Coturnix japonica: one gene and its partner. The protein of the gene in region 1 interacts with the protein of each later gene in a biochemical or structural test. Links are inferred from orthologs where the notes say so. Each region holds a gene or a part of one and is shown on either strand. Other genes may lie near its edges.

Region 1 (4,557 bases):
TGACCCCAACCACAGGTGGGTGTCCCTTGGTACATGAGACCCAGAGCCCACCCACCCCAATGCCTCCAGGGATGGAGCAGTGCCCCCCAGCTCCCCCAGCCCCCCGCCCCACACCATCACCTGGAAACCCCATACCTTGATCCAGGGGTGCTCCAGGCTCTGAGCTATGGTCATCCGCTTCCTGCAATGACAGCAAGGCAGGACAGGGGAGGATGGAGTTGGAGATACGGGGTTATGGGGGGAACAGGAAGAGAGGGGACAGGATTGGGGGGTGGGATCAGAGGGGCATAAAATCAGGGGCCCTGCTCGTGGGCTGCCAGGCTGTGCAGCTCAGCCCTCAACCCACCACTTCCTCACAACCCCATTCCTTCCCTTCCACCCACTACAGCCACAGGTGACCCCACAGATGCCCCACACCCATATGGGGCACAGTCTGACCCACGTCAGCCCCCAACACCCGCACCCCAACCCTCACTTGGGGTCCTTGACCAGCAGCCGGCGGATGAAGTCCTTGGCCAACTCGCTGGTGCTGCTGAAGTATTCCTCATCGAAGTCGTAGTTGACGGCAGAGATGTTGGTGAGGGTCTCCTGCTTCGTTTCCCCCAGGAAGGGGGAGGCCCCGCTCAGCCTGCAGCAATGGGGGGGATGCTCAGCCCCACATCCCCACCCCCTGCAGCACCCCACACCCCCGGCCCCTCTACTCACAGGATGTAAGTGATGACCCCAATGCTCCTGGAAGGGAAAAGAGGAGGTCAGAGCCCCACAGCGTCCCCCCCACATGGCACAGAGGGGACAGAGGGGGACATCCTGACCCCCCACCGGGGCTCACTCACCACATGTCGGCCTCCAGCCCCAGCGGCTCGTAGTTCACAATTTCAGGTGCTTTAGGAAGGAAAAAGAGAGACAACAAACTCATTCTGGAGGGGAAAACACAAATATCTGTCCCCACAAATGCATCCATCTCCTGTGTATGGACACTCATGGGGCACCCAGCTCTGCCCCACATGGAGATAACCCCCCCTGGGGGTATCCCTGCAGGATGAGGCCAACATTTCTGAGCCCCCCCTGTTCAAAACTGTGCCTCACCCACAAACTCCGGCGTCCCAAATATGTTCTTGAACTCATTCCCAGCTTCAATCTTGTGGGCGATCCCGAAGTCGATGAGTTTGATGCGGGGGTTGGGCACGTTCTTGTCCAGCAGCATGATGTTCTCTGGCTGTAGGGGGGGAGGATGATCAGTGCTTCACCCCAGTGCTGAACATGAGGTGTTCCACAAGCCAGCAGCACACCATGGCAGCTACAATGTGTGGCCAAGAAGGCCAACGGGGTCTTGGTTGGCCAATGGCTGGCTGTAGGTTGACCATGAGACATGGTGTTCCCTTATGGCCACAAAGGCCAGTGGTGACCCATTGGCAGACCAAAGGTTGGCCAATGGTTGACCAATGGTTGACCAAGAGCCAAAAGTGCGGCCCAGCAGCCACCAAAGCCAATGTTGTCCCAGCAGACACAGAGTTGGCCAACAGTTGACCAACGATTGACCAACAGTTGGCCAATGGTTGGCCAAAGAGCCAAGAGCAACAAAGGCCAAGAGTTGACCAAGAGTTGACCAAGAGTTGACCAAGAGTTGACCATACGCTTTGTGTCCCAGCAGCCATGAAGGCCAGCAGTGTCCCAGCTGACCGATGGTTGGCCAACAGTTGACCAGTGGTAGTTGGTCAATGGAAGTTGACCAAGAGATGATGAATGAACAACCACAAACCTGCAAAGCATCTCAGCGTCCAAAAAGGCCGACAGCCTCCCAGCTGACCAACATCTGCCCACCCCAATGAGCCCCTATAGCTCCCACCCACACCCATAGACCCCCCACCTTCAAGTCAAAGTGTGCGATGCGTTTGGAGTGCAGGTAATGCACCCCGTCCAGGATCTGCTTCAGGAACTGCGTGGCCTCCTCCTCCGTCAGCGATTCCTTCTCAGCCAGGAAGTCGAATAGTTCCCCCCCCGACACCAGCTCCAGGATCAGCACCACGTCCGTCTTGTTCTCGAAGATGTCGTGCAGGGTGATGATGTTGGGGTGCTGGATCTCCCGCAGGATGTCCACCTCCCTCTCGATCTCCTCCCTGCTCACCCCACGGCGGCTCGATGATAATCGTCTCTTCTTAATGAATTTGGCCGCGTATTCCAGACCCGTTTTCCTCTCCCGGCATTTCCTCACGATGGCGAATTGGCCGCTGGGGGAGGAGGGAGAGATGGCAGCCCCGCAGTGTGGGACTGGGGAGGGACTGATATGGGGGCTGAGCTGCCCCCATAGAGCCCTGCGTGAGCAGCACGGTGGGACCCCAACCCCGTCCCCATCTCTCGGCCATGGGGTCGGGGTCGGGGTCGCTCACCCCCCCCCGGCACCGTGGATGAGGACGCAGCCCCGCAGCCCCTCCCCGCTCTGACGTCCGTCCCCTCTCGGTTCTCCCGGTCCCATATAAGGACCCGCAGCGCTGCGCCGTGCCCGAATCAATGCGGGGCGGCACCGGGAGACCCCGCAGCGCTGCGGGACACACGGCCCGACCCATCCCGACCCATCCCGACCCCCATCCCGACCCCACCCCGACCCCATCCCGACCCCCATCCCACCCCCCACCCCCGCCCCTCTCACCTGCCCAGCTCTTCCCCCATCTCGTAGAACTCCTCCACGTTCTCCTGCCGGAAGGTGGACATGGCGGCGGCCCGGCAGCTCCCCCCGCTCCTCTCAGCACCTACAGGCCGGTATCAGCCGCTCATTCCCGCTCCGATCCCTCACTCCCCCCCTTTATCCCGCTCCGATCCCGCACCCCCCGCCCGCTCCGCTCCCCCACCTGGGCCGCCCCCGCCCGCACCGCCGCATTCCAGCACAGCCGCCGGCTCCGCCCATTCTCCTCCGCTATTGGCTGCGAGATCCCAGATGTCCCGCCCCTCGCGCGCTGCCATTGGCTCCACGGGGGTGACGTCATGTTGGAATGCGTGGATCGGGCCGCCCTGCCTCGCCCCGGCGGAGCTGAGGACGCGGGTTCGAATCCCGGCGGCCCCGCATCGATCCCGCATCGATCCCGCATCAATACCGCATCGATCCCGCAGTGATCGAACCCCTACACCCCACTGCGATGGGTCCGGCAGGAGACACGACGTTGGAGGAGCCATATCATCACCATATCAAATTTATTACTTCCAGTGGCACTAATACACGGGTTGATGCTCATGATGACGATGACACACAACAGCTCCCTGCCTTCAAACCCCCCCCGGCCCCATTGGGCTCCATTAAACCCCCCCATAGATAAAGGGGGAGCAGCCCCCACCGCCCTCAGCTTCTCCCCCAGCCCAATAAAGCAGAGATTCCTCAAGTCAAATAAATATGGAAGCAGAGTGGAAACGCTTTTCATTGTTACAATGGCACCCAATGGGCCACGATGTGCAACACACAGAGCTCCAAGGCTGGATCAATGCGCTCGGTTGGTTCGGTTCAGTTTTGTGGGGGTTTTTTTTCTTGTTATAAGTCTCCAATCGCTACGAAACTGATTAAGTACAATGCAAAGAGCTGTCACTGCGCTTTGAGCCTGCTGGGATGGTGTTTAGGCTGAGTCCCACAGCAGTGACAGCACATGGGGATGGTGGTGATTACAGCTTGTCCAGGAAGTTATCCAGGGCCGGGATCCCCTCCTTCAGCCCCTTACGTTTGCGGGTCTCGGCCACCACCTGGAAGGGGCGGCTGGTGCTGTCGAAGGGATCCCCGGGCAGGATCTGCCAGTGGTCAAACACACACTGCGGGAAGGCCTGGCCTCCAGTGTTGGACCTCAGGTCGGCTGTGAAACCTGGAGGGAAGAGCAGAGCTGAGTGGGATGGATGCGGGGTCTGACAGCTCCAGCTGCCTCCCCCTGAGCCTCAGCCCCTCGGGGTCCTGCAGCCCCCCCTCCACAGCTGCACCCCCATGTACAGCCCACCCCCCAGGGCAGCTCCAGGCCTTACAGCACAGGGATGTGATGGGGCTCCTGGCAGCACACACTTACCAAAGGACTCGTTGACAGGCAGGAAGGCCTTGACCACAAACATGGGGGTTCCAGCCACTTGGGATTCCTCAAAGACGTGCCCACGCTTCCTGTTCAGCACGCCATAGATGCCACCAACCACCTGCTCCGGGCACTGTGGGACAGAGGGGTCAGGGGCTGCAAACAACACAACTCCACTTTCCTTGGATTTCCTTGGATTTTCCTTACCTGGATTTCCACAAGGTAGATGGGCTCCATGAGCCTGGGCTGAGCCGTGAGCACACAGGCATAGAGGCACCTCCTGGCAGTGGGGATGATCTGCCCACCCCCACGGTGGATGGCGTCAGCGTGCAGGGTCACGTCGTGCACATCGAAGCGGACACCACGCATGTTCTCCTCGCACAGCACACCCTGGAGAGCAAAAGAAGGTTGAGAGGCAGCACCAGGCCAGGCAGCATTCATCCTGCTCCTCCCACCTCTGAGTCACGGCTGCAGGCAGCACTGAGCCCATCTGGCAGCCTGAGCAGCAGCTCCAAAGCTGACA
Region 2 (3,811 bases), on another chromosome or scaffold:
ACTGGCATTTGCTGCTGAAGTTACTGTGCTCAGAGAAGAAGATATTGCATAGTAATCGAATCAGACAGACTACTGTAAAATGTTAATCTAAGAAAGTTGGGAACAACATCATTTTATGATAAGGAGATACACCCAAGTTTCTTAATACAGATTGTATCTTGAGACATTCTTGTGTGTGATTCCCCAAGGCAATGAAGTTAGTGAGTTCTCACCAACACAAAGCTGTGAAATGTGCTCTGCAATTTATTGTACTGACCTCTTAAGAGCTTTGGAAAGCACTTTGTTGCTCTACCTTTTCTATTTTGTTAAATCTGTAAATAAGTGTCTGCTTTGCTCTATGCCTTTTAGTACAGGTAATGCTCCAGAAGATGATGCTGTAAACAGGTATTCCCGAACGGAGAGGACAACTTACAGCAGATACAGCAGGGATGCAAACTCTTCTGGGAGTTCTGTACCAAGTAATGTTTTGGAAAAGAGGATTGAGGAACTTGAAAGGGTGAGTACCAAGTAACATCTGCATGGTATACATCTGAAATAAAGAACCTTTGAAACCCTGTGGGGAAATCAGAAATGAGTTAATATAAAAATGATGATTGATGCTTGAAGTGCAGCTGCTTGTGCCTAGAAATATATGTAAAGAATCAAGCAGACAGAAGGAATGTGAGCTTTCTAATCATCATAAATGTTTAGTTTTCATTTGGTGTGGATGTGCAGAATAGCTGAGGTAAAACTAAAGCAGTCAGAGAGCCACCTGTGCTGTGTGAATTTGTCCTGGGTACCTCATGACACACAAACACAGGGCAAATAACCCGGGGGGAGATGGGGCTCACTGGCTGTTCAGAAAATAAGCAATGTTCCATCTGATTTACTTCTTGTTTTGGATGTGCTGAAGTGTTATAAAACTTAATTATTACCTTGTTGTTCATTGAATTCTTCAGCACCTAAAATATATATTTCAAACAAAGTTTTCTTTATTCCAGCCATTTTTAGTACAAACATTTTTGAAAGAACATAGCAATGTTAAAGCTGTATTTTTCACTTAAAACTTATTTGGCTGAGTATGTCATCTGTGTACCTTATTATGAGCTTCTGTTTCTTCTTCTGTAGTGGACTTTTATGGGTAACTAGCCAAAGTTTTTTGAGTTTCTATGGAAAAAGTTATTATGGCCTGCCCTGCAGAAGTTGACTGAGTAAATGCAACTTGAATAAGCTTTTAGGTTTTTTTAAATGATGAAAATGGAAAATTTGCTGCTTTGTTGTTTTTTCTTCTAAAGAATTAAGGAAGCCAGATTTGAGTGAAATATGCTGTAATCTTCCAAATTCAAATCCTTTTTCTTCTAAGATAATTCGATTACAAATAACAGAAAATAGACGAAGATTTAAGGATCGCTTTTCAGAGTCTCAGTCTCTGATTTGGTGAATTTCTAATGGACATTTTCATTTTAATTTTCTTGAAGCCCACATATCTCATGAGATCTCTGTTCCCACATTAACTGGTGTCAAACAAAAAAGAAAGGAAATATATATATATATAAAATGTGGAAACCGAGACTTTACATTAACACATTTGTCTCTTAGACTCCCGCCCAATTTTGGACTGATGTGTAAGTGAGATATTAATTAAGCATCTCTAGAATAGGAGATATCACACAGGTTTGATGCGAGTAAAATATTTTCTTAGATGTGATTCATTAGCTCCTTGCAACGTAAAGGCTTGAAGGCTTTTGGGTTTGACTTGCTGTAGAAGCGGAATTACAGGTATGTGTGTGGTTTATGTATGTGTGTGTGTAGTGAGGGTGTGGTATTTGAATGGCAATAACATAAAACTCTGTCTTTAAAACAATTATATTTGACACCAGCATATTCTATTTTTAGGAACTTGCAAAGGAGAGACAGGAAAATGTAAGATTAATGAAGATCACACAGGACAAAGAGGAAGTAATTGGAAAACTGAAGGAAGAAATTGATTTATTGAACAGAGTAAGCACATACTCTCTTACCTGGTGCTTTATAAAGAGGGGATAAAATCCTCTGCATTCTCAGTGCTTTTCTTCAGGTTCTTGTAACCACTTGGCAGGGTCACAAGAAAATTAAGTGTTTTTAGGTTTTTCTGTTTTTGAAGCTGTGTAATTTTCAACAATCTTGTTAGTAAGTTATATTTTCCCAGGTGGCTTCTGTTTGTCGTAATTAACTTCCAGAACTTTTTAACTGTTGAGATACCTTCTTATTGCTGTTTTGTTGTTGCTGGTTTGTTGTACAGTGAGGTTACAAAAGCATGTGTTCCTTAAACAAAATGGCCCTGGTGAATCCAGCAGTAGAGGGAGGCAATAACTTCATGTGCATTGTGGTAGACTCTGATTTTGTGGCATTTGCTTAAAACAGTGGAGATCAACATACACAAAAGATAGCAAACTAATCTACAGGACTAAAGCAGCTGTCTGTTACTTCTTTTTATAAAGAAAGATGGAATGTATAGGACTAATGAAATATTGTCTGTTTTGGAGAGATTTGTTGACCAATTGAGGAATTGGTCTTCATGCCATTTTTACGTCTGACAAGGAATCTCTTACATCTAAGCTGACCACTTCAGTATTAATCAAGGAGTCTGTTCACTTCAATGTAATGGGTGGCAGAGCTACTTCATACTGCTGGTCATGTCTGATCTTTCTCAGAGATTAGAAAGCAGAAAACACAGAAGCACCCAAATCACTGCAGTCCTGTGCTTTAAGACCTGTTTTGACAGTTTCTAAGGCCTACTGACCCAGAAGCAATGATATTTTCTTTTCCTACTGTATTTGAAGGATAATGTCCTAAATTAAATCTATAATGTGTCTGATTAGAAATCACCTTTAAACATTCATAGTAAAGTCAAATAGGCCTCATGTACTGCCTGCATTTAGGTATGATGACAATTTCTGTTTGTTGTGTGAGAAAAAAAAAATCAAAACATAGTAATTCCAAAAACCTCTTTAGTACAGAACGACTAAAACTGCAATGTTCAATGAGAATTGTGTACATGGAACTCCCTAGACAGTCTCCATTAAATGTAGGAGATAATATATAGAGAGATTTTTCTCTGCCAGGGCTGCATTTATAATAGCTATAACATGATGTATTGGCTTTATTGCAGTGCAGCTATTAATGCTTGAGTCCCACAGGTTTTTCTTAACATTGAAATAGCTGCCTTTTGACTTTCAGACCATCTTAATAATTTGTTTTACAAAAATTGAAACCAGCACGTGTCAAGTGATACTTCCATTAAAGCAGATACAATTTCACTTTCTTTTTTATTAGCTTTTGGATTTTTGAATGCTCTTCTATTAGCAATCCATGTGAATTTAGAAAAGGGAAAGCTTTAGAATAGTAAAAAACCAAAAAAATTACAGAAGTATTACATCATTCCCATGACAGAAGGGCATGAAAGTTAATGTGGCAGTCATATTTGCCTAAGGCTTATGTTTGCAACTGCGATCATGAGAGCGAGCGCTTAAACACCCATCTGTTCTTCATAGAACGTGGCTCTGCAGACCTGGCATCAGGATTACATGCTTTACGTGGAGGATAAGAGAAGGTCTGATGACTTAGTGAGCTTATGCAGTGATCTTTTTAAAAGGTTTTGCTTGTAGAGAACCTAAATGGAAGTCTTGAAATTTGACCATCTATGCATTTGTGGTATTGCTCTGTCTTTCCTGTTAATCAAAAAATGCTGTTATTGCATGTTAGATTGCAGTGACGTGGAAAGAATTTCAGGTCAGATAGCCTAAATGCCATTTTATTGCCTGGCTTCCTGACTTCTCAGCCCTCACGTTTA

What was found.
Region 2: of the proteins of DAPK3 (region 1) and PAWR, one has a biochemical effect on the other in vitro, tested with the Homo sapiens proteins (2 studies listed by BioGRID). The link is inferred for Coturnix japonica from reciprocal best matches to the Homo sapiens genes DAPK3 and PAWR.

Annotation. Positions count from the first base shown.
Region 1 is NC_029543.1:799,472-804,028, reverse strand, and holds the start of DAPK3 (death-associated protein kinase 3), read right to left. Parts: upstream 3,088-4,557; 5' UTR 3,073-3,087; coding exon 2,847-3,072; intron 2,748-2,846; coding exon 2,648-2,747; intron 2,229-2,647; coding exon 1,868-2,228; intron 1,217-1,867; coding exon 1,087-1,216; intron 883-1,086; coding exon 834-882; intron 733-833; coding exon 706-732; intron 629-705; coding exon 476-628; intron 182-475; coding exon 136-181; intron 1-135. Other genes in the region: EEF2 (elongation factor 2), read right to left, coding at 3,646-3,839, 4,035-4,167, 4,242-4,424. UniProt on the Homo sapiens protein: Serine/threonine kinase which is involved in the regulation of apoptosis, autophagy, transcription, translation and actin cytoskeleton reorganization. Involved in the regulation of smooth muscle contraction.
Region 2 is NC_029516.1:35,855,600-35,859,410, reverse strand, and holds part of PAWR (PRKC apoptosis WT1 regulator protein), read left to right. Parts: intron 1-348; coding exon 349-496; intron 497-1,875; coding exon 1,876-1,980; intron 1,981-3,811. UniProt on the Homo sapiens protein: Pro-apoptotic protein capable of selectively inducing apoptosis in cancer cells, sensitizing the cells to diverse apoptotic stimuli and causing regression of tumors in animal models.